Coturnix japonica: one gene and its partners. The protein of the gene in region 2 purifies or fractionates together with the protein of the main gene of each other region. This does not show direct contact. Links are inferred from orthologs where the notes say so. Each region holds a gene or a part of one and is shown on either strand. Other genes may lie near its edges. The genes, in order: AMER1, AXIN1 and HIPK2.

What was found.
Region 1: the proteins of AXIN1 (region 2) and AMER1 purify together in Homo sapiens (affinity purification with mass spectrometry; 4 studies listed by BioGRID and IntAct, with this or other methods). This does not show direct contact. The link is inferred for Coturnix japonica from reciprocal best matches to the Homo sapiens genes AXIN1 and AMER1.
Region 3: the proteins of AXIN1 (region 2) and HIPK2 purify together in Homo sapiens (affinity purification with western blotting; 3 studies listed by BioGRID). This does not show direct contact. The link is inferred for Coturnix japonica from reciprocal best matches to the Homo sapiens genes AXIN1 and HIPK2.

Annotation. Positions count from the first base shown.
Region 1 is NC_029519.1:11,111,106-11,119,329, reverse strand, and holds the start of AMER1 (APC membrane recruitment protein 1), read right to left. Parts: upstream 5,413-8,224; 5' UTR 5,256-5,412; intron 5,203-5,255; exon of another isoform or gene 5,129-5,202; intron 4,182-5,128; 5' UTR 4,050-4,181; intron 2,415-4,049; exon of another isoform or gene 2,392-2,414; intron 1-2,391. Other genes in the region: ASB12 (ankyrin repeat and SOCS box protein 12), read right to left, coding at 6,000-6,133, 6,464-7,277. UniProt on the Homo sapiens protein: Regulator of the canonical Wnt signaling pathway.
Region 2 is NC_029529.1:10,741,746-10,749,969, forward strand, and holds the start of AXIN1 (axin-1), read left to right. Parts: upstream 1-2,501; 5' UTR 2,502-2,614; intron 2,615-5,769; 5' UTR 5,770-5,880; intron 5,881-8,224. UniProt on the Homo sapiens protein: Component of the beta-catenin destruction complex required for regulating CTNNB1 levels through phosphorylation and ubiquitination, and modulating Wnt-signaling.
Region 3 is NC_029516.1:56,134,160-56,142,283, reverse strand, and holds part of HIPK2 (homeodomain-interacting protein kinase 2), read left to right. Parts: intron 1-538; coding exon 539-660; intron 661-4,340; coding exon 4,341-4,483; intron 4,484-4,753; coding exon 4,754-4,933; intron 4,934-7,458; coding exon 7,459-7,740; intron 7,741-8,124.

The DNA of each region.
Region 1 (8,224 bases), on a different chromosome or scaffold from region 2:
TGGGTGTCCCATAGATGTAACAAGGCACAGAGCTATATCATCACCTGCAACTACAGCTGTAAAAACCCCCAACCTGTTTGAACCCCGCACAAAGATGTCATGGTACCGAATCCTCTGGAAGCCACCTGTAGCCATTTGGCAATAGCACCATATCAGAGGGACAGGTAGACCTAAGCCCCAGGCCACCTCAATCAGCCTCTGACCTTTGTCAAAGAGAGAGTGGGGTCCTGCTCTATTAACAACTGCCCTTCAGCACAGAAAACACAGGCATCTCCAAAAGGTAGAGGGACCGAGACATGACAAACTCTGCTTCCAGCCCTCCCAAACAGCACAAAACAACAGGAAGCATCTGGACAGTCAAGCCTTACAGTAACTGTGAATCCAGCAAAAGCAGCCATTTACCATATTGTGTTTTCTTCACTGGATTTCAATTGTTTGCAACATCATCTGTCAAGCAAGATAAACCTGCATTAAAAATACTTCTTATAAATCACCCTGATCAGATTATCTCAGAAGCAGAGAGAGGTAGGTTTTCAATTTCATCCTGGATTGATGTTAATAGCAGGAGAAATAAAATAGTAATATTTCTTTTCCAGAACTGAGATTGGATAAAATAAATCCAGTGAGAGCTGTAATGCACTGCTGAGCTGCAATACCTGAGGCTTAGCTCTGAGCAGCCCAAGGCCGTGCTGTGGGTGTGTGTCCGACACAATTCCCTGACAGCAGCCAGCAGGATGCACAGCTGGGACCTCGCTGCATGACCAGCTCTTACCTGGGAGGCTGGAGACAAGGGGATGTATTTACAGCCATCACTGACAGAGGTGGATTTAACCACCTTACACACCCCTGACAGTACAGTCTGCCCTTTCTCTGAGGCTTCCAGGGCCACCCCAGGGCATCCCAGGGGCCAAACAGTGCTTCTCAAGCTCTAACAAACAGCATTTCTGCACACCCAAAGCCTTTCTGGGGTGACTCCAGGATTCTTCTGGAGCCTTTCCAGAGAGAACTATTTAGATAGGACCAATAGAAAATAGTACGCAAATGTCTATATATGTGAAATGCTAAAGTAGTAGAAAAATGAAACAGGAACAAGACTTCAATTTGAAAATAAGCCCACTCTGGCTCCACATCAGCACTGGCATCAGTAGATGCTCACTGCTGTGACCACACAGCTATTTATGGATGCCAGAACAATACAGTCACCAAGGGCAAACACCAGTATCGACGGAAATAAAACGGGGTCAGAAACAAACCTACAAATCATAACAGTAAATGACAGCACTTCACCTGTGCCCAGCTCCCTGAGGCAGCCAGGGGAGATGAGGTAGATCTGGTTATACTTGGGGTGATGCAGCTTTCTGCTCTAGCTACAGGTAGAAGAAGGGCATGTCCGAAACTGCAGCCGGTGCCAACAGGTTGACCTGGGCCAGAGCTTGGGGCTCTGTTAGTGTACAATCAGGACAAAGCACCTCAGCCAACATGCTGCTCTACTGGGATGCTATGCTTCTATACTAGGGGCAACTTCCATCCTCCCCAGCAGCAGCTAAAGTAGAGGCCTGCTTTGTCCTCAGTTGGGATCTCAAGACTCTTAAGAGCATCCATGACAAGTCATAACTACCTCAGCATTCAACAAAAACAGAAATGAGGTGGAGGATGAGAATCTCACAGCCTGCACCTAAAAGACTTGGGAAAACGTCCCTGTTTTATCCCCTAAACCGACCACAGGCCTTAGGCAGCTCATCAAGCCTTTCTCCTTTATGCAGACTGACACTGCCTACGGTAAGCAGGCTGCTAAATCCCTTCTTTGTGCTGCACCAGAGATTAGCTGGTGTGAGTGACCGACAGCCATCGATGGACTCACCCAACTCTTCCCTGCCTGTATGACTTTCAGCAGGGCCAGAGCCTCCCAGAATCCCCCCCTGACCCCTAATGCAGAGCACGGCACATCGCTACCCTCATCCACAGTGGGGACAGCCCCACAGCACACACCCATTCCCTGCTCTACAGAGGAGCTGCACAGCTGGGCTCTGCACAAATCCTCTCAGACCCTGACGACTGCCATGAAAATGTCTGACTGCAAAGAAACACCACAACATTAGGCAGCGTTCAGCCAGATGCTGCTTTCTCTTCCTCCACATCAGAATAGAGAAGCAAGAAGCACTGAACCCTTGTGCAACAAAACGATACCCTCTCCTGCAGCTCACACGTGGACGGGTGGGAGCACACGGGCAGTACAGCTGTCAGAATGGGAGGCGGACACTCGAGCGCGATCAATTAATTCTCACAGGCATCAGCAAAGACAAGCTACGATCAATTAATTCTCATCAAGGAACCAGGCGTATCATCCCGATGTTACAAATGGGAGACCGGGCATTAAATTAAGGGACTTACCCAACTCACAGGGGAGCTTCTGTCTTGTCACCAGGATTAGGATGCAGAAGCAGTCACAGCAAGAGCACGGATTTCTCTAATCCAGGATAACTGCCCAAACGCTGCTTGGAGGGCTGGTGGCAGATGAAGCATCCCCTCTCTCTAACTCACAGGTTGCTCTCATCTTTACACCACTTTCCCCAGCAGCAATCTGGGAAGCACCTCCAGCAGGCCATGACACCACGTTCTTTCTCCCTTCTCTCTGGGGAACACGGCACGGTTACCCCATGCTGCAAATGCAAAGATGTGCAGAGCAAAGCTGGCTGCAGTGTCACAAGGGCTGCGTCCCACAGGACACCCAGAATGGCTGCACGCCTCACTAACAGCAGGTCACACCGGCCGGGTCCCAGCTCTGAATGGGAACAAGCCCCATCTGTCTCACTGCCCATACAATGGTGCAGAGCGATGGAGACAAAGGCACAGAGATGCACATGAAGCCCTGTGCAGCAGGAGGCATCTGATACCAGTCAGAGCAGTGGGTGGGAGAACACAGCGCAGCAGCATGGCAGGATGCATGTCTGCTCCCCACATCTTCACGTAACATGGAGTGTTCAAGCAGCATCTCACCACATTCTGAACTCACATACAGACAAAAGAGATCCTTCCACCATCCTCAGAAGGGTCTCAGCTGAGGTGCAGGGAACTCGCTGTGACTCTGCAGTGGGACAGGTACAAGCTGTGCAATGCTTCCCCACTGATCCCACTCTGAGCCTGCCCCAGAAGCCAAAAGCCCCGAGAATCAAAACCATCTTCCATTTTCCAATGTAGTTTTATCCGCGGCCATTTTACACATCCTTTATCTTACATGTTACTTGCTGCTTTTTCCTTCTACAGCTTCCAACCCACTGCATCCTCATCCTTATGTGCAGTTCTTATTCCCTAGGCCGAGCGAACCCTCCAAACTCTCCCTATACAACATGCTCTGAGCCACCCGTGGAAACTTCGCTCCATCTCATTTCTCCAAGCTTTGCCTACAAACAAGCAGCAGCCTTTTCCAGGACACTCCTGCATATTCATGCCATTAATTCCTCAGTTTACAGAGGGATGTTATTGCAGCTGTCAATACCGACAGGCAGGGAACTGCTAAAACGTGCTGCTTCTATCCTCAAATAAACTGTTGTGCTAACGATTTTTGTTCCAGTACAAACAGCGTGCGACAGAAACCGTTTTGTTGGGAAGCCACGTATTAATGTCATTCTGTCTCAGAAACAAAGACAACCCCAGCACTTCAAAGTTTCAATCCCGAGGCCTGATTTAGCAGCTTTATAGTTTATAGTTGTAAAACTCAGAGCTGTGATTTTCTTCAGTTGTTTTTCGCTGCAATAATTACAGCACCACATGGGCACGTATCTTAGTGCCTGGAGCCAGCGCTGTGTCCCCAGCCATTCCTCCTGGTGTGACCACATCCACAGCAGGACGTGCTGACCCTTACCCCCAGCAGGGTGTAATTAGCGTGCTGTATTTACACACTTTCTTGTGACAGGCTGGGTCCTATGGTGGGCCAAATGTTACAGCTTAGGTGGACACAATGAACTTATGTGTGCGACAGGGCCTTGTTTTTAAGGAGAAAGATGGGCAGCTACCAAAGCAGCAGCCCCCTCAGCTCACTACGACCTCACCTTGCTGCAGGACTTGAGCTTGCCCAAAGCCGACCCACACTACCACAGCAATAGAGGTGCAGAGCTCGGGATGAGCTGGGAGCGCAGTGCCTTCCCCTCACACAGCCTCCACCGAGATCACAGCCGCCACAACTGCCAGTAGTAACCACATGAAAAAAAAACACGCAAGTGAATGCTTTAACAAGACGAGTGTAAGTTTAACAGCTCCGCCTGAGGAGCTCACAACGCCTCCATTAAGGCTGCTATTGAATTAGAAGGCAGAGCCCTCCCACGGAGGCATTCCTGAGTCTCTCTCCCAGCTCCAGCCCAGCTGTCTGGGTGCTTGGATCTGCACATGCTTCTGTCCCTGCTGTTCTCCATCACCTCATGGCACACAGCGTTCAGCTTCTGGATGTGAAGGACAGAAGCCTGGAGAGAAAGATGATGACAAACACAAGGGAAAGAGACGCGCCCAAGACAAACGCAAAGCCACCCGATTTTGGTTGGAAGGCCTTTGGCGTCAGGGGTTTGTCGTTAACAGCAGCACTGCTCAGCAGCTCCAACACAAACCGGCCTTAAAATGCAATTATTTCAGTCTTACAAAACGCCACGTGACAGGTCAGTTTTCTATCTGCGGCTTGCAGATACCTGGTTCTTATAAGACAGGGCACCAGCACTGCATCCACTGGGACATGCTGGATGAGGAGAAAGACAGCCAAGAACGCAGGTCCACATCTGACAACACAACACACCCCGCTGCTAAGCCCTTATCCACAGCCTGCCTGAGGACCTCAGAAAACCCATGGGGCCATCCATCCCTATGAGCAGAGAACCCCAACCATTCCTCGCTGTGCTGCCACCTCTGGGAGCCTTTCAGCGCGCTCGGCTCTGCAGGAGGACGGAAAGATGGAAATACAGGGGCACGAAGCCGGGCCTGTTGTGCCCGTGTGTGGAAACAGTCAGAGGAAAGGCGAGGACGGGAGCACGGGGGGCTCGCCGAGCCCAGCAGCAGCACGGCCCGCTCCAGCCCCGCTCTCAGACGCGGCCCCCGGCACAGCCCCACCTCAGTCCCCGTCCCACGGACACGCCGCCCCACGCACCCGGGACGGTCCCGGCCCGAGCAGCTCCGCGTCCCACCACCACCACGCCGGGCTGCAGCCAGGCCCCGGGCTCTGCGGCCTGCCCGCCGCCACAAAGGCCGCCCCGCCGCGCTCCGGCCGCACTTACCGACGCGCTGGGCCGCGGTCGGGGCTCGGCGGAGGCACGGCGCGGTGCTGTACGGCACGGTGCTGTACGGCCCTGCCCGCCGCCGGGACGGACGGGGCGGCGCCAAGCAGAGCGGCGGGGCCGAGCCGGGTGTGGCGGCGGGGCCGGGCCGTGACGGGGCGGGCGGACTCTGTGACACGGCGGGGGCGGGGAGAAAGGCCGCTACCCCCACAGAGCCCGGCCTTAGGACCAGCCGCGGACCAGAACCATAAGGAGACGGCTCCGAAAGGCAGAGCGAGCGGATGGAGCAGCTGATGATCTGCTCGTAGCACCGCAGGCTCCAGCCCCGCTCCTGCTCACAAAAGGTCCGGTAATTAATAAAGATGTGCAGCTGGCACAAGGGCCACCAGCTGGTACTTGTTTGGTGTGATTACTGTGGAAAATTACGTTTTTCGCCCATTCAAATATTCAATTTTATTCCGGATGAGCAGAGCACCCATTATGACACTCATTATCTGCATGGGAGTGGTGTCCCCCATCTCCCCAGCCCCACAGACACAGCTCACCTGCTGTGGAAATCCACACTAACAATAATCTTTCCATACAGGTTTCAGAGACACTCTGGAAGCAAATAAAAAGCCCAAAAAAACCCTGTTTATACCACAAATTCACATCTGTTTTGTGCTGTGCAACAGCAGCGTCAGAGCTTTTAATTCAGGCACTGGGCATCTCTCTGGGGTAGGCGTCTTCCATGGTGTGTCCCTGCTAAGGCTGATGTTGGAGGTAGCTCACCAGCACTGGTGGAATGTCCAGCTCTCTGAGGGCGTGTGCACAGCCAGCCTGCTTCAGGATGTGCCTCAGCACCAGCCTAGACTGAGACATCAGGGATTTGGGATGAGCTGTGGAAAGAAAAGGAATGAAAAACATGACCGTCACTGCAGACCTTCAGGATGCGCAACCCTGCTTCTCCTCCAGCTTGCGTGGTGTCAAAGGGAGAACTGATGCACCTAAACCAAGTGTTCAGAGTAAAAGAATGATAATATTCAAGACTTTAACACCAGAGAGACTCATTCTCTCAACCAAAGCTGCAAAGAGGGTCAAAGCTTGCAAGAAAACCTTGCTTAGGCTGATCTCTCCCCTCTCTAAGGGGAAACAAAGATAAAGTGAAGGGTGATCTGAAGCAACTCGCCCCCAAATAAGCCCTGGGGCCACACACACACACAGGTTACCTCTTGCCTGCAACAGCAGATCTAGGCCCTCGCTACCAGGTGCTATCTTCTTGATGTTTGGCAAATACACATTGGCTCCGAAGTCAAGAAGCAGCTTGATGAACTCACGCCGGCAGCTGTGCCTCAGGCAGATCTCCAGCAGAGTCTTGGGCTCCTTGATGCGCGCGATCATCCTCTCATCCGTGCAGTTGTAGTTGGGATCGGCACCATAGAGCAGCAGCAACCTGAAGCATTCCAAGTGCCCATAGACAGCTGCGAGGTAAAGCGGACCGGAGCAAGCAGTGGAGTTGGCAGCCCACTCAGGCACCCTTGCTTGGACATTGGTCTCAGCACCGTGTTCCAGGAGCTGCTGCAGAATCTCAACGTTCCCATCCCTAGCTGCGGTCAGCAGCGGTGAGCAGTTGTTGTAGATGCTGCCAGAGGGACCGGCTCCTGCCTCCAGCAGTGCTTTCACACAGCCCAAGTGGCCATTGCTGACTGCTGTGAAAAGCGGGGTTTGTGCCTTCACATCCAGGCTGTCCACCTCTGCCCCATGAGACAGGAGGACCTTCAGGCTCCTGAGGTGGCCCTTAGAGGCAGCCAGGCGCAGTGGGGTGCTGGGAACGCCCCAGCCACTCCTGCTATTGATGACTCTCTTGTACCTGTCTTGGTGCAAGAGCTTGTCAAGAGTTTGGTAATCGTCCACGGACACCACTTGGTTCAGCTCCTCACTTTCTCCATGATCTTCATCTTCTCTGGGTTGGAGCATGGAGAAAATCTTATTGATGTCCATTAAGCTCATTTTTTTGGTCTGTCTTCTGAGCACCACTTTCATTGTAAGCAGTAAAACCTGCTGTCTATGGGACAACAACAAAGGTGAGAAGCAGATTTACCGGCTGGTAAATAAAACTGCCCATTTTCCCTCAGAAACCTCCCCATCCAGCTGTGCCCCATAAGTGCTGGAAGAAAGACCACGTGGAACAATAGAATTTATTCTGCTTCATATTGAGCAGCACTGCAAACAGTTTCACCTGCATTTCTGAATATCCTGATATCTATGGAATACTGAGATGATCCAGGAGGTGACAGCTTTACTGGATTTTGCTCAAGAGCACACACACAAACAAGCACTCAATTTTTTTTTTTACACCCAGTTGAGCTTTAAAGGGATTGAATTTCAAAGTAGAAGGACCGAGGATTTTCCATCAGCCATGCAAGGAAAATGGAGGGGGGCACCTGAGAGTGCTACACCCAAGCCAGGGCCAAAGCCTGGGGATTTGCAAGGCCTGGCCCTATGGCAGGGTGGCACCAGCACAGAAGGATGCAATGGAAACGCTGCCTGCCAAGGACAGGAGAATTTCTGGTAGCATCTCAGCCCTGCAGTAGCTGAGGTTTCCCACAGGAGAGGCTCCATCTCCCCCACCTTGATACAGCAGAGCTGCGCTGAGCAATTAGCCCTGTTCTGCAAATGCGCATCTGCTGGTAGCAAGGAAAAGCCACAGGAGATGTGTCCCACATCAGCCTTGGATAAAGAAGAGCTGTGAGCGCCGAGAGCTCCCCAGTGCCAAGTCACCTCAGCAGCTCTATTTTTGGGTTAAGTAGAGCAAGTTGGACGGCAGCTGATGAAAGCAAAGCTCTGTTGTACTTCCACCTGTTAAATCAAGCCAATCCATTTCTGTAGAAATAAGTAGAAATATACATTGCTGTTATTGGTTAGACACACTAATACCAAGCACTGGGACTTTGAATCACCCAATCAACGCCTCTAATAGTGTGTGGGGA
Region 2 (8,224 bases):
AGCATCTCCGTGTGTGAGATGTTCAGAACAGCAGGGCCAGGCCCTGGGTAACCTGTTCCAGCATCTGTGGGCTGTGAGACCAGGCTGGGCCCAGCAGTGAGCCCTGCAGCCCTCCATCACAGAGCAGCTTCCTGCTCCTGCTGCCTCCTGGCTGCAGGGCTCAAGGCAGGGGATGGCTGCCTCCACCTGCGGCTGCTGTGTGGAGGACATGGCTGGGGCAGGAGGGCTGTGGGGCAGTGCAGGCTCTCTGAGGTCCATCCATGAGGGCTTTTGCTTCAGCGTGCTCTGCCATTCTACATGCATCTCCATCACTCACCTTCCCTAGGCAGCTGTTGCCATGGCAATGCTTTACGTGCTGCTGTTTCAGTCCAGCTAGAGCACAGGAGATGCCTTTGGGGAGATGGGAGCTCGTGCTCAGCCTGCAGGGCACCCTCAGGTGTCCCATCACTGTGGGCCCTGCAGGACCCATCGCCCTGGGGCTGGTGGTCCAAGGCAGAGGCAGCAGGGTGATGGGAAGCACCGGGAAGATGCAGCTCCTGCACTGTGGGCTCTTCCAAAGCCAAATCTGAGCTGTTGGATACAACCCCTGAGAGCACACAAAAGCACAGATGGGCAGGTAGAGCATCTGCCTCCCATCTTTAATACATCACATTGTGAGGCACAAGCAGTGCACCAGGCACTGGGGCTGAGCACGGCTGTGCTCCTGGCCCTGCCCTCACCACCTCCATATTATATTATATTATTCCATATTTGCTTTGTGCTTTGTTTCCTGAAGCAGCTCTACGTGATGGGGAGAAGCAGTGGGTCCCCGTGGGGATGTTCAGGGGGCTGGAAGGTGCCTCCTGTGGCAGCAGTGCTGGCAGTGTGGCATGGGGAGCTGCAGCGGGCACAGCAGGGCTGGTGTTGGCTATGGGCAGGCAGAGCTCTGGCTGCTCTAAGACAGGAGTTACTATGGGAACCGACAGAGGATGCTCAGAGGGTGCAGAGGGCAGAGATGCTGGTATGGCTTCGTGGTATTGGTACCTGCAGCCACGCACAGCATCAAGCCTTCAGTTGATGCCCATGCTTTGCTCAAAGCCACCTGTGGCCATGCAGTGAGCTGGCACCGAGCTGGGGCTGCAGCAGTGGGATCTGTGTGCGGCTCATTGCTCTGCTTGGTTCTCGGCTCTGCTGGGGCTGAGCTGCACGCTGAACCGGGGCCAGCAGCATCCTGCGTGCAGCTGGACGGAGTGTTTGTGTAAGCAGAGCCTGCCCGGCTGTACCAACAGCCGCCTGTTTGTCCATGTGTGGGTGGTGAGAGCCCTGACGTCAATGGCTGCCTTTCATCTCCCCCGCATGGCCAGGCTCCCCTTGAGCAGCAGGACGGCGTGCCCGACTCACCGGCACCGGCTGAGCTGTGCAGCAGCGCCTGCCCCACACAGCAGACAGGGCTGGGAGCATTGAAGGCATGGCTGCTCTCCTTGCTGCTCTGAGCCCATGCAGCAATGGTACAGGGACAGGTCTGAAACCTGGGGGGGTCCACAGCTACAAACAGGCTCCCCATCCGACCATGTGCATTTCCTTTTTGATTCTCAGTCAGATGATTCTCTCTTCTTCCCTGCATCCCATACACAGACGTCATTCCATGTGCCTACAAGGGCTGGGGGACACAGGGAAGAGGAAGGGAGCGGTGTTTTGCCCAGTTCTGCAGTGCCAGACCATCCCTACAGACCAGCATGTCCCCACAGCTGCAATCCCAATGCACTCCACACAGGGTGCCATGAGGTGCAGTTGCTCTCCATGCAGCTCCCCTTGTTGTGGGGCTGTTCAGAGAAGAGGAGAGGGAGGGAGACCTTACAGGGGAGACCTTACAGCTCTCCACACCCGAAAAGAGGCTGCAATGAGGTGGGAGTTGGGCTCTGCTTCTGGGTAACACTGATAGGATGAGAGGTGTTGGCCTCAAGCTGCGCCTGGGCACTTCAGCTTGAGTGTTAGGAAACGTTCCTTCTCCCATCCTCCCCATTGCTTCCCCAACTGGACAGAGCCATGTGAAGGTTGGCTGTGCTTTGGAGGAGCCCCAACACTGAGGAGCACAAGGATGATGATGATGAGGGCTGCACCGTGGTGCTGGTTAACCCTACATGGAGTCATTGTGCAGCTGGTGGGGAGCAGCTGGCCCGGGGGAGGCAGCGCTGTCTGCAACAGTGTTCAAAGAGTTTTGCTTAAGTGTTGCCGCTCTTCAGGGCTTCCTCCAAAAAATAAAAAAATAAATATATGTCTATATGTAAAAAGGGAGAGAAAAAGAAGATAAATCTTTCCATGCTGGATGAAAGCGGCCTGTCTTGACTATTTACCCAGCAATTATAAGTAAATCGGTGGTGCCTAAAGGGGCTGGTTGCCATAGTTACAATAGGATTGGAAGGACCATCATTTGGTCCTGGCCGCAGCCAATCAGGCTGAGAAGCCAAAGCTGCAATATAAAGTAAAGATTCCCATCTTCCAGCCACACAGTTGCCAAGAAAGGGAAATAGGTTCAAGAGTGTTGGAAAGTGCTCCGGACAGCAAGCAGGGCGGCTGCTCCCGTCATGGCGGACTGCGAAAACCCAGCCGGCGCGCGACGCAGCGGGGCAGGCAGGTGAGAAATCCCAACGCTCCCCATCTCCCCGCTCATTGTTCTCCTTCACCACGGCCCCCGCCGCCCCACCCCATCCGCGGCCACCACCGACCCCCTCACCCAGCCCCAAAACCCACAATGAAACCCCCCTTCGGGCGAGAGACAAAGAGATCCGTGCGGAAAAACGCTCCACCATTCTCCCCAAATTGTGATCGTAGGCCTTTCAAATCAAATTTCGCAAAGCAGCTTCATCAAAGGCCCCCAGCTGGGAGACACAAGCCCCATATTCCTGCCGCCCACACGGCCCCCCCAGGCCTTGGATGGTGCGACAATCGCACACAAAGTCAGCGCGGCTCGAGAAGTGTGTGTGCAAGAAAAGGGGGGAAGAAAAGAGAAAAAAGCGAGAGCGAGAAAGAGCGGTGCCTAAATTGATCATAGTCTCCAAATCTCATTACTCGAGACTTCTGAGGACGGATATTTCCAAAGGCTGCTATTAAAGACTTGTAAATGGAGCCCCTTTATGAGATCAAAGCCCAAGGGCCGGGCGCGGGGCGTGCGGTGGCTGTTGTGGCGGTGGCGGAGGGGCGAGCGGAGCCGCAGGATGCTGGGGGAGCCTTCCTCCCCTGCTGCTTCTGCCCTCCATGTTTCCAGTGTCGCTGCTGCTGCTGCGTGACCCATCTTGCAATGGATACTGCAAACGTGATGTCGGGCAGAGCCGAACACCGCCCCAGCTCCCGGAGATGGGCGAACTCCACCACCCGCAGCACCGGGGATGGAGAGAGAGTTCCCAAAGTCAAGCAGGTCCCTTCCAAAATGTCATAGTAATAAATGAGCTTATTCCAGTCGGGACCTCTCGGGACACCTTGGACTACAGATCATCTCACGGCGTGGGGCGCTGGCTCCATGGGGCCGTCCTGGCCTCGGGTCTTCTCCGTTGGGTCTCTTTTTCCTCCCCAAGTCGCGGCACCTCGCTGCCTTGCTGACCATGGGCAGAAGGGCCGAGGACAAAGGGAGGTGGACAGAAGTTGTACGACTTTCTCTTCCCACCGCCTCCCTTCAGATAAGATTTCTGTTGTCGGTGACACATTCAGCTCCGGGCAGCATTCCCAGCACCGGCACCACCAGCAGGCAGGCGCCCCATCATATTCATGGAAAGCAAACTCACAGATGGTAAAATAACAGAGTCGTGTAGGTTTCAAAGAGTCCTTCTATGTCAATTGTTATATTATTAGGTAAACTCTAAGAAGAAAATCTTTTAATCCACTGTGGCTAATCCAGTCCACTTTTGTTGGCCAGGACATATTCAGCATCAACAAAAGGCTCTGGCCGACGAACACCGGCATACATAATGTATTTATAACTCTGGGAGCTGGCTGGGCTGCTCCCAGAAAGAGACACTCCTCGGGCCCTCAGCAGGGGCCAGAGCAGAGGATTTGCCCGACTTTTATCAGTTTTATTTTCATTTCAAAGAACCCGACCGATATTTTCACTGTGTTGCTTACCAGGCGAGGCACGAAGAGGGCAGGGACGTTCCTGGCTCCAGCCAGTCCCTCAGCCCGGACCTGCTGGGATCTGCACCCTTCATCTCCCTCTGTGTCCTGGGCAGCACAGGGATGGCTGGGCTTGAGGAAATGCATCCATGCACCAGGCAGGGAGCATGGGGCCCTGAGGTGCCTGGAGTGCCGGGATGGAGGCGGATGGGACAGGGAGCAGCACCGTGCCTTCTGGGAGGATGGAGAGCTCCAGTGACACAGGCAGGTCTGTATATCCCGTATTTCACACCCAGCTCCTCTTCCATGTGCTGGAGACAGGGAGAGCTGCAGCAGTGCTCCAGGACAGGCTGTGGGGTGCTGTCCCCATGGGGATGGGCTGTGGGAGCAAAGGGGCCACCAGGAGGTGTTGGCTGGGCACTGCTAAGGTGGCTGCCCCCAGAACGGCAATCCTGGCGCCCTGGGATCTACATGGACTTTGCTTGGAAGGCATCATCACTCTGGGAATGGAGGGATCACCTTCCTGCAGGACAGGGGATATCAGTAATGCCATAGAACTGCTGCACCAAGCATGGGAAGGCTGGGAGGTGTGCAGGGCTGCCAGGAAGGGAGCTGGAGTGAGGCACAGGGACAGACTGTGTCCTCACACGATGGGGAAGCTGCTGCCATATGAAGATGCAAAGCCCAAGGTCTGCAAAGTTTGGTGTTGTGTATCCACCACCACGTTTCCTCGTGCTTCAGACAATTGTAACTGTAAGAATCAGGATGAAACATAACCTGAGGCCTGATTCACTCACATTTGTCTGCCCCGGGCTCTGCTGTCTCCTACAGCCCTGCCGGAGTCCAGCACAGGGGCCTTCTCCATCAACTTCTCCATCAACTCTTGTGCCCCATAATATGTCCCATGCAAACCAGAACTCACTCTGCCCTGCCTGAAAGGTGTGAAGCGGTGAGGAAAACCACTTTGAATGAGAAACAAGGGGCAGCCACCCACTGAAACATGGTCAGCACACGTTGCTTAGTGAAAACTCTTTGCTGGTTCACTCAGAACAACAGGAGTGCTGACCCTCCAGGGTGGGTGAGCCAGGAGCATGGGACAAGTACTTGTGCTCCAGGCTGAGCTGCTGATGGGCATCGTATCAAAGCATTCCGGTTGTAGGCTGTAGGACAGACATCAAGGCGTTGCCGAGTGCTGAGCTTGCTTTTGCCAGCTGGGCCAGTGACCACATCTAAGCCTAAGATCCTTCATAACATTGCGAAACAGATCCACAAGAGTGGAGCAACCGATATTTCCAGCAGCGCTCTTGACATCAGCTTTTCCTTACACCGCCAACCAACTGATCGGGATCATTGATGGATGGATAAAAGAGATGCACCTCTCGTGTCGGGATCAAACACCTTGAATGGGCATGGGCTGCTCTAGGGCAACCCTGACAGCAGGGCTCAGCTGTCCCAGTGCAGCATCACTGAGCTGTCAGCTCAGCCCTGTGCTCCTGCCTGAAGGTGGTGGCTGATACACACTCACCTTGTCCCATCCTGTTGTGGAGGCAGACAGCAGCCACAGCCCAGGAGCAGCAGCCACAAAGGGACAGCAAGCAAGGATCCCAGGATCCCAACCTCCTGGCCAGCCCTGGGGCATTCCTGTGTCCCTCACAGGGGACAAGCTGACATTTTTTCTCTCTGCAGAGCAGCAATGCTGGGACACACGGAGGCTGCATCCCATCCACGGCCACCCGAGAGGAGCACAGAGCATGGAGCAGCAGGCCTGGGGACACAGACCCGAGATGGATCCCACAGGTGGGTGTGGGAAGGTGTGACAGAATGGGATGTCACCTGGGGGTGCCCCCCTTTGCTGGCCACAGCAGCTTCTAATACGTACCATGTCCTGCTTTACATGGACAAGGTGGTCAAACCTGAGCAAAAACTGGGAGATCTGGGGACAGAAAGATGGGAAGAAAGCCCAGGAGTTACTACTCGAGGCAGTTAGTCCAGGGATGCATCGAGAAAAGCTCATCCAAACCAATGGGTGTTACTGCAGCCAAAGGCAAAGGAACCAGAGGTAGGAAAGCTGTTATTAGCCATTACTATTACTAGTTATTACTCTCACTACAGAGGTGTAGAAGCAAGCAGGAGAGAGCTGCCAGTGAGCTGCTGTGCTCTCCCTGGTCAGATAGGAGATTTTCTGGATTCCTGGTCCTCTGTGCAGCTTATTTAGCCAAAATTAGGGACTGTGGACTCGTGTGGTCTTTATAAAATAACAATAATAATAAGAAAGCAGTATCTGAGCAAAAAGGCTGGTGATAGGGGGAGAGTAACCCCAGGGCAGCATAGGGGTGGCCCAAACATTCACCCAGTGTGCATCACAAGGAGCCAGAGCTCAGCCCTGCCTGTGAGGAGGTGGCTGCTGCATAGAGTCCTGAACCCCATTTGGTCAGTGGTTTGTCTCCAGTTCTGTAACTGGGAGCCAAACTGGGCTGGAACAAGCGTTTTTCTGCCTCATCCCTTTTGCCCAGCACTGGAGGCAAATTCAAGCTGAGGAATTTGGGTGTGTTCATCTCTCCCAGGGCAGTGAATTGAAACAAGGTGGGATGCACAGGCACCCAGCAGAACCTGCACTGCGAGCCACGGGGTGAGAACCAGAGAGCAGCTCCTGCTGCACTGCAGATGCCTTTGGGGAACTTCAACTGTTAGTGATGGGCTCATAGCCCACATCTACCCTGACACAGCTGCATGGGGTATCCTCACTGTGCCAATGGGCAGGACTTCCAGCCCCCATCCCAGCTGTACACAGGCCCACTCCTCACCCTTTGCTCTCACATCAGCTGTGTCTGTGGCTCTGGGTGTTCTCCACATCACAGCAGTCAGCTGAGGTCTTTGGTGTGCCTGGCCCCAGTTCTGAGGTGACCCAGCTCCCTTTAGTGCCATGATACTGATATTTCTTTCTTGACAGCCAGCATGTCTTCCCCCTCCTGCTCTGTAGGTGTCATTTTGCCAGTGGTCCAGGAGCTAAAAATGTCCTCTCCCATCCATTTCTTGCATCCTTTAATCCTGTTTCTTAGCAGCCCTCTTTTCCAATGTTTATGCAGCCAAACCATCTCTTACCTCTTAAATGAATGGGCATGCATACAGGATGAGGTAAGCAGAGGAGAGCTGCTCCTCACCTCCAATAGGGATCATTTAAGATCTCTGTGTCCCGGTCTCTCAGGCTTTCCAGTCACCCAAGAGGCCCACAGGGCTTTCAGCTCAATCCTCAATGATCTCTGCTGGGAGCCCATGGTTCCCCCAACCCTTCTTATCAGGCAGCCCTGACCACCACACTCCACAGGCACCCACAACACAACCAAACAGGATCTGTGTCCCATATTTTTTTTTTATAAAACCTAAATTTGGGATCAGCTTTGACCTGCTTTGAGCCTTTTAAATTACAGCCAAAGGTTGAACAGCACCATCTAGTGCACTCTGTCCCAACAGTGCCTGAACTGGAGGGACACCGACCCTCACACTTGCACCAACCGTGGCAGGGCTCTGCCATTAGAAGTGTGCATGGCCTTTACCCTTTCAGACACAGGGGAAGCAAAGGAAGTCCTGGATGATCCCACAGTCTGATTCCTCCCAAGGGACACTTGATTTTCGCTCATTTGATATCCACAAATGAATCCAAAGTTGGTAATGTTGGCCATAGGCGAAACGTAGGGACTAGGCTCCTTCATGTGGGCGAAGCAATGTGTGAAAAGCAGCGAGGTGACTCCAGAGGGAGCCCATGGCTCTCACTATTCTGAGAAACAGGAAATGAAAGAGGGAGAGCTTGGCATGAGCCCGGAGGGTATTCACCATACAGCTCGCAGAGAGGTGGCTGCCTGGCTACTCCTTACCTGCCTTGTCGGCAACCTGAGGATCTGATCCTGCTGTGGATGCAATGAACAGCTGGGGGCAGAGATTTCCCTCTTGAATTTCTCAGAAAAGCAACATCCTGATGGGCTGCGCAGCCCTTCCCTCAGCAGGATTTCCATGCAATGAACCCTCTGCACAATGCCAGCACAGCCAGCCAGCTCCATGGAGCCAGGAGATAAGGAAAGAAACCAGATTAGGACTTTGCTGTGATCACACCATAGCATGACCAGCAGTGTGTGGCACTGTGTGC
Region 3 (8,124 bases), on a different chromosome or scaffold from region 2:
GTAAAATCGGAGCCTTTAAAATATGACTCCTGGGAAACTGTGATAGAGAAAATCACCCATCCCAGTCAAGATTGAGTTAGTGCACAGTTCCACTTGTCCCACATTGATAGCAAGAGAGCATTCTCACATAGCAGTGTCTCTTGTGTGGCAAGGACCATTTTCTATTAGCAGCCCAGAGGACGTCTGGTAAGAGAAGCCATTTCCTGCTCACTCTTTCTTTGCTCCCTGTACGCGTTGTACTGAGATGTTTCCCCTGGATTCGAGATAACTTAAAAATATGAAATCATTTAATTCCTTAACACCTTTCAAATGTCTCTCCTGTACCCTCATGATAATATTGTGCTTATCAGCATCTGATGGACGTCTATGGGCTAGGGTGGAATATGTGGGTCTCCTAGAACTTAGTTTTTCAGAAGAACTAAACACTGTAATTTAAATGGATATCAGTGAATGCCTTTAGACTTCTCTTAAAATCAGACCCCCATCCCTAGCAATGCTGTGTATGACCAATGCTGTATCTTCTGTGCTTATGAAACAGGGTTACAAGCTTCCCCTTCGAAGCATGCTGGGTATTCAGTTCGGATGGAGAATGCTGTTCCCATTGTCACTCAGGCTCCTGGGGCTCAGCCTCTTCAGATCCAGCCAGGACTCCTCGCACAGGTAATGAGCTCTGAAGACACCAAACACAGAGCAGGTTATTTTGTGTGCTATTTAGCACTTGGAAGCTGGAGAGTGTAGCTTTCTCTGAGGGCCTTCTGTGCTGTAGTTTGGAGAAATGGGCAGCCATAAAAAGTCACCAGCTTTATCTGAAATGCTCATACCTTACCCAGTTCATTGTCCTGTTACGTCAGAGTTGCAAAAGACTCTGGAAAGACTATCTATTCTTCTCCATTGAGACCAGTGGAGATCTCAAGGGAAGCTGTGTCAGGACTCTGCTGAGGAGGAATTGGTAGGAACCTTCCTGGATTCTCCTGAACTTGCAGTCTCAGCAGCAGTTTGTTGCAGTTGTGCTGGTGAATTGCATGCTGCTGAAAAACATCCCCTATGTTTTTAATTTTGCAGCTTTTTATGAATTGTATCTGTGTTCTTAAGTCTTGGGAGTGATGTAGTTGGCAGAGGCAAGGATCTGACAACCAAGGAGCTCACACTGTCAGCAGTACCTATTGGCACAGTTGGCCAAAGTACTCTCACAGAAAAGGCATGGTTCTTCCCAGCAAGAACAAATGGGAATGAGAACTACTTATCACAGAATTGTAGGGGTTGGAAGGGACCTCTAGAGATCATCAAGTCGAACCCCCCTGCCAAAGCAGGCTCCCTACACCATGTCACACAGGTAGGCGTCCAGACGGGTCTTGAATATCTCCAGAGAAGGAGACTCCACCACCTCCCTGGGCAGCCTGTTCCAGTGCTCCGTCACCCTCACTGTCTGTTGGTGCAATTACTCTTCTTCAGCAGCAACCACACTTATCTGATGAAGACAAATCAAAGCACAACTTGCAGCCTCAGTGATTTCAATTAGCTAACAAGACGTACTCATTCCCAATATTAGAGTCCCTTTTACTGGGCTGTCTGACATGAGCCTGCTCAAACACTGAATATATCCCAGTTGAAGCCTGTGGTAACAGCCTGTGTGGGCCATCTCTCTTGTCTGGTGGAAAAGGAGGGCCTAAGAGGTGACAGGAAGAGGAATAATCACAAAGTGAATGCTTCTCTGCAGGTGAAATTGCAGGTACCTGTTGCAGTGTTGGTGTACAGGGATGAGGGTCTTATCTGAACCATGCTGAAGCCGATAGGATCTTAAAAGACCTTGGGTCCTGCAGTTCCTCTTTTCTTCTCAAGGTGGCCTCTCTCAGGTCACCACTTTGTGGCAGTGAGTGCTCTGAAGAAGCTTTGATCCATATGGCTGTCCTGTCCCATTTACAAGAACTCTGGTTTCATGGACTGCCCTCAGCTATTTTCTATTGACATTTTTTGCACTGCTACTTTGATATGGCTTATTTGAGCTGTTTCTGAAAAATACTCCTCACTTACATAGATTTTATTTTTGATTTAATAGAAGAGAGGCAGTCTCTGTCAGCTGATATATCTGTCTGTCTCACATGATGAGAAACATTAGCTTCTGCTCCGACAGGGAGGCTCTCTGATAGACACTGGTGGCATCTGGTGTCCGCTGGCCTTGCTCGGTTCGAGCTGAGCAGCTGGTCTCATAAACAAATCTGTACCCAATTCCAGTTTCCTGAATGGAAAAACACAGCTCCTTTGTAATGCATTGTAGTCACATCTGATCTTTGGATGACCGTGTGTCTCTCTGAGCTGTGAGCTGTTCCTCTCATGCACAGCTGGTTATCAAACGCCGTTCAGGCCAGACTGTCCGAACTCCAACTGCTAGAGGGGCTGTCCCCAGCAAAGAGCCTGCTGCCTCCTGAGCAAGTTTGTCCAAATACTGTATGCACACAGGCTGTTGAAAATGGGCTGATCCCATCTTTACAAGTATCTCTGTACAACTTCAGATTTCAAAAGGGACAAAGCCATACAGTCCTCTGTCAGACTTATGTGACGTGACCCAGAACCGTTCTCTGTCCTTGGATAGTGCCCTGAATGCTTGAATTTCTCACATTTTAACTCCATCCCAGCAATATTTCTTCCCATAGAAGTCCTGCTTCCAGCTTTCAGAGCAAACACGTTTATTCCATTAGTTGTTCTTGTTTACACCACAGGTGGGAATTTAGTTGCACCAGGGGCTGCACCACCTCCAGGGAGCAGAGGCCAGCACCGCACTCTGACACAACAGCACAATTTCAAAGTAATGCAATAACTGAGAACAGATTGAGGCTGCAGGCACGAGCCTCCCATGTGTAAGCACAGCATGCTGTGCTGGTGGATCAGCCTAGACAAGTCTTATCTGCAGATTAAATGATTCAGTGGTCCTTACCTAATAAGTGAGGAATTTATGCCTGGACCCTGACACTGAATCTAAATTTATGCTCTGCAGGAGGAAAAGGAGTTTGCATTTGTTCAGTTCTCCTCCTTAAAAAAGGGAGGAAATCAGTTTTCTCTGCAAGTAAATCCTGGTAGCCCCTTGGGAACGAGCACAACAGTAGTTGAGTCTCATCTTTTAATTCAAAGCTGGTTAAAAATAAATAAATAAATAATGAAATTTCCTACCTGATCTTTTACCTTTTCACTACCTTCTCCTAACTACTCTGACCTGCACCAGACCACGGCTGCAGCTGCTTAAATGAAAAGCTCTCAAGACCCCTGTGACAATCTGTCTTTTGCAGATGTTGCTAAGAGGCCTCATAAGAGCAGCCTTTTCATCTGGCATGACACAATTAAGATGATTAAAATTTGGAGCAGAACTAGGAAAAGTTTCATCTTTATACTGAGGGTGGCAGAGGGTGATTGGGGTACAGGTTACAGGATGTTTGTGGGGATGGAGATGGGGGTGAACGTATGCCTGGATGAAGTCTCCCTTCTTTAAAATGTAGCCTCCACAGGGCTGTGAGATTACATAACATGGGCCTATGGAGGGTTGCGTTCCCCATCCTAAGCAGTACACAACAAAGTTTCCCTCTAAAGGAATCACAGTGTGACCAAGCCAAAAAATGATTTGATTCATGTGGAGTCGGTGGAGTGGGACGACCTGAGGGATGACGGCATAGCAGAGCGATGACTCGATTTACAGGGCAGAGATCTCCACCCTGCAAGGGGGGCACTTGCTGAGAAAAAGCCAGAGAGCGTATGAAGGGAACAGACATGCGATGTGCAGCTATGTACAGCTCCCCTCTACTTTGACCAAGGCTCATGGGTAGCTGGACTAGGCAGCAAGATGTCCCTGCTGTGTAGAACCCCCAGACTCCTTCCCCTCTTTGTGAAAGCCTTCAGCCTCTTGTTCTTTGTCCTGATCCCTGAAATTCTTTCTCCTTTTAAGCTGCTTTACGTTCCTGAAGTCCTTTAGGGTCTGTTGAGGTCAGAAGGAAAATTGGCTGGAGGCAGGGAGAAGTCCCATTTAATAAGACCGTAACTCCCAGTTGATCTGAATAGTCAAAATTAAAAAGTGCTAATCTGTTGGAACTTCCGATTGAAATGCAGGCCAGTTTCAGTCTCTCCCATTCCAAGTTTAACCTGACACACAGCTGCTGCTTTGGAAGTCTTTTGTGCTCTCTATATTGATAACTTTACTGCTTCCTAAAAGTATTCACAATCTATGACTGAAAGGCACCAAGCACTAGGTAAGATGACCACAGTTATTACAAGGAGCCCCAGCTGGGTGGGGGTGATTGTTTATATGCCGTTTATGATGACTCTTATTAAGAAACACTTTTTCCTCTGGCCAACAGCAAGCATGGCCCAGTGGCACACAGCAGATCCTGCTCCCTCCTGCCTGGCAGCAGCTGACTGGGGTGGCCACCCACACTTCTGTCCAGCACGCGACCGTCATCCCTGAGTCCATGGCAGGCACCCAGCCACTGGCAGACTGGAGGTAAATCGCTGGCACATGGAGAATGTGTGTACATGCCCATGGGACAGCCAGCACATGTGTGATGATGGCCTTTGGGCTGGGGCAGTGGCCACCATCCCCCAAGCCCAGCACCATGCCCACTTCCTTGGGGGGAAAACAGTCTTTCCTGGGGATAAACTGTGGCACCGAAGAGCCCCAAGAATAGAACCTCAGTGCAGGTGATGGGGTGAAAGCCTGCTGGGGAGCCGCCGGTCGTATTTTAAACATGTCCCTGTCTTCTCCCCTTTGCAGAAACACCCACGCTCACGGCAGCCATTACAATCCCATCATGCAGCAGCCCGCGCTGTTAGCCAGCCATGTGACTCTCCCCGCAGCCCAGCCCGTCAATGTGGGTGTTGCTCACGTCATGCGCCAGCCGCCCGCCACCACCACCTCCACCAGGAAGAGTAAGCAGCACCAGTCGGCGCCTCGGTGAGTGAGCCCGGCCCCACCGCTGGCCTTGGTGGGCCCGAAATGCAGGCGTGCTGATAGGAGTCAGGTATCCAGAAGCCTATGGGGCAAAATAAAGCTTGTTCCACTGCCCGTGAGTTTTTGTGAGTGGACTGTCTGCTGCTTCATTAAGGGGCAGTCGGGTGTGTTTTATAGCCAGCAAACACCATGTGGCATGGTGGGGATGCAGGACAGGAGGCTCAGGCCTTGCTCATACAGGTCGTTATGCTGCTGTGGGGCAGTGCACCTTCAGGAGCAGGTTCCTGATGTCTGCATGTAAGATCCATCCCTTTAGAAGCAGATAAATGATAATCACAAAATCGTAGGATGTGGGAGGGAGCTCTGGAGTTAATTTTGGATATCTCCAGAGAAGAAGATTCCACAGCCTCTCTGGGCAGCCTGTTCCAAATCTAAGTTAGATACACTGAAGGGCACTGAGGTGGCTGTGGGCCACCTTTAAGCTCTCTGTCTTCTAACACAGCAGCTAGAGGAGCAACAGATACCCGCATCGATCTTTTCCTAATCAGGGCAGCATCAAGCAGGGAGCATTTGGTAAAGGCACTTCACGCAGGAACGTTCCTTAGATGCTGGGATCTATTAAATCTAGGTAGGAGCATTTGGTTCTGCAAGAGGAAAGTTGAGCATTCCTTCATGGTGTTTGGTGCAGCTGAAATGGTGGGATGACTGCGGTGCCTGTCACAGCCCTGCAGTCCTTCTTACAGGACGGGGCTGCTGAAGACGTATGTGCAACTGTCCTGGGGAAAGTGCTCTGGACTGTGAGAATGGCTCCTCTACTGAGATACATTTCATTTTCAGAAAAGAAAAAAAAAAAGAAAAAGAAAAAAAAAAAAAAAAAAAAAAAAAAAAAAAAAAAAAAAAAAAAAAAAAAAAAAAAGAAAAAACGAGCCATAAGTGCAGAGAAGAGAACTAAAATGGGTCACTACAGTGGCAAAAACAGAGGAGCTTGTGGTTTTCCTGGGTGACTGGACTCAGGCCAGAGGAGCTCGGAGTTCACAACCAATTTTCCTTCTAGTTAAGAGGCCGCTATTTAAATCCTTCCCATTTATCTGCTCTCTAATGTTGCATTTACTTTGGGTGAGCTCCAGCTGTCTTAGTCCATTCGTAATGTAGAGCAGAGGCAGCTCTGTCCCCAGCAAGCCTGTAAAAGAGAGCGCCTGTTGCAACAAGCATGTCTGCGCAGGGCCTCCCCTCTCCCACCCCTCTGCAGGAGCAGGGTGCCCATGTTGGGGAGGAATTGGACACTTGCAGAGCAACGGCTTTCTAGGGCTGTACATTGTCTTTAATTGTGATGATTTTGTAGCCAAATGAGGAACGTGCTCCTTTGGAAAGAAGGGTACTCCATTCCGCTCATTGGTATTCAGAAAGCACTGCAAATGCTACCGTGCAGTCATTTGTTATGCAAAAGACCCTGTGTAAGTTGGTATAGCGTGATATGTCCATAATGACTTCCTTTTGACAGATGCCACCTATTCTTTTTGTTAGCTTTTAGGCCACACTGCAAATGCAACCCACATCTCACTGTAGAACAAAGCGAGAACTTTGTGTTGCATCTGCGAATGCTCTGCAATAAGCAGAATAAACTATAACATTTTAAAAAATATAAGAAAATAACGAGGTGGGTTTTGGTCAGTAAATACATCTGCAGACCTGTGCCGTGCTGTTTTCTGTGCTGAGATCTCCAATCCATAGAGCTGTTTACAACTTTCAGACAGGGAAGCTGAAGTAGGAAGATGGGGGAAAATCGAGGGCTTGAGCATTATTTTCAATGCATAACAAAAAGATTGTTCTTTTTCTTCCTGACCGATGGGTGCTGTATCTGCATCCTCACATGGGAATGACTTGAAACTGAGTGTGTGCTTTCCCATCTGGGTATTCTGACACTCTCATCCTCATCTGGAGGATGAAGCATTGGGCAGGAAATGTTAACTGAAAACATTCTTAAATGGCAAATTAGATTTTCAAGTAAGTAAAGCGGTTTTCCTGATAAGTGATCGCTGTTTTCCACAATAAATTCTAATTTTACCTTAAGCTTTTTTCTGGACAGAAAAAAAAACAAAAGCACAGATTGGTCATGATGCATACATACAGTTCACCAGGTATGGGAGAAAGGGATTATCCTTTGGGTTCTTTCTCCTTGTGTGACAGCCATGCAGTGCCGGCCTGTGTTTTGTATGTCTGGGCTTTGTGACCAGCCTCTATTCCCAGCCTAAACTGTAGGCAGGGACTCCTGGGAGGCAGTATTTCTCATCTGGAAATGTATGTGGAAAACAAAATTGAGGGGTGTTTTACTTAAAAGAAGTACTTTTCAGCCAATTATAAGAATAAGCCATGTGAGGCACTCTGACCTTTGGAAAGGTGATGGTGCTGATTTTGCAGTTTTCCCAGACTCCATAAGTCAGCGTGAGAGAATGAGAGGCTGGGAGTCAAAAGCCACAGCAACTGAGCAAGCTGAGATTTAACCAACTAACAGCCTTTCCCATTTCCAGAAATGCATCCACCTACGAAGTTTCGTCCTCTCAGTCCATCAGCTCGCCTCAGCGGTCGAAACGAGTGAAAGAAAACACGCCTCCTCGCTGTGCCATGGTGCACAACAGCCCTGCCTGCAGCACTGCCGTCACCTGCGGCTGGGGTGACGTGGCCACCAGCACCACACGGGAGCGGCAGCGGCAGCCCATAATCATTCCCGACACCCCCAGCCCCGCAGTGAGCGTCATCACTATCAGCAGCGACACCGATGAAGAGGAGGAGCAGAAGCATGCACCCACCAGGTGAGCAGCAGCTCTGCTCTTCTCTCTGCGGGTGAGAAAAAGAGGCAGAGGAGTGCTGTAAGGTCCCAGCAGTTATGGCTGGGTCTTTAGTTTGGGAGGAAAGGTGATGGAGGAGCTAAGGTTCTAGCAGAGGTCTTTGCAGACCTAGCTGATGTTCCCTGTCATTCTGTACGTTTGCTGTGGACTTCGGAGAAGTGTCAGAGTCTCTCTGGGCCTTAGTTTCTTTTCTCTAAGAGGAAATAATAGTTTTCTCTCTTTTGAAGGGCTGTTCAAAGGAGCTTTTAGAAGATCTACATTAATGAGCCCTTCAAGTCAGATAGCTGTTTAAAACAAAGACAGTAAGAAAGGTTTGGAAGGAAAGTAGCTCGAAACGGCCTTTTCTCT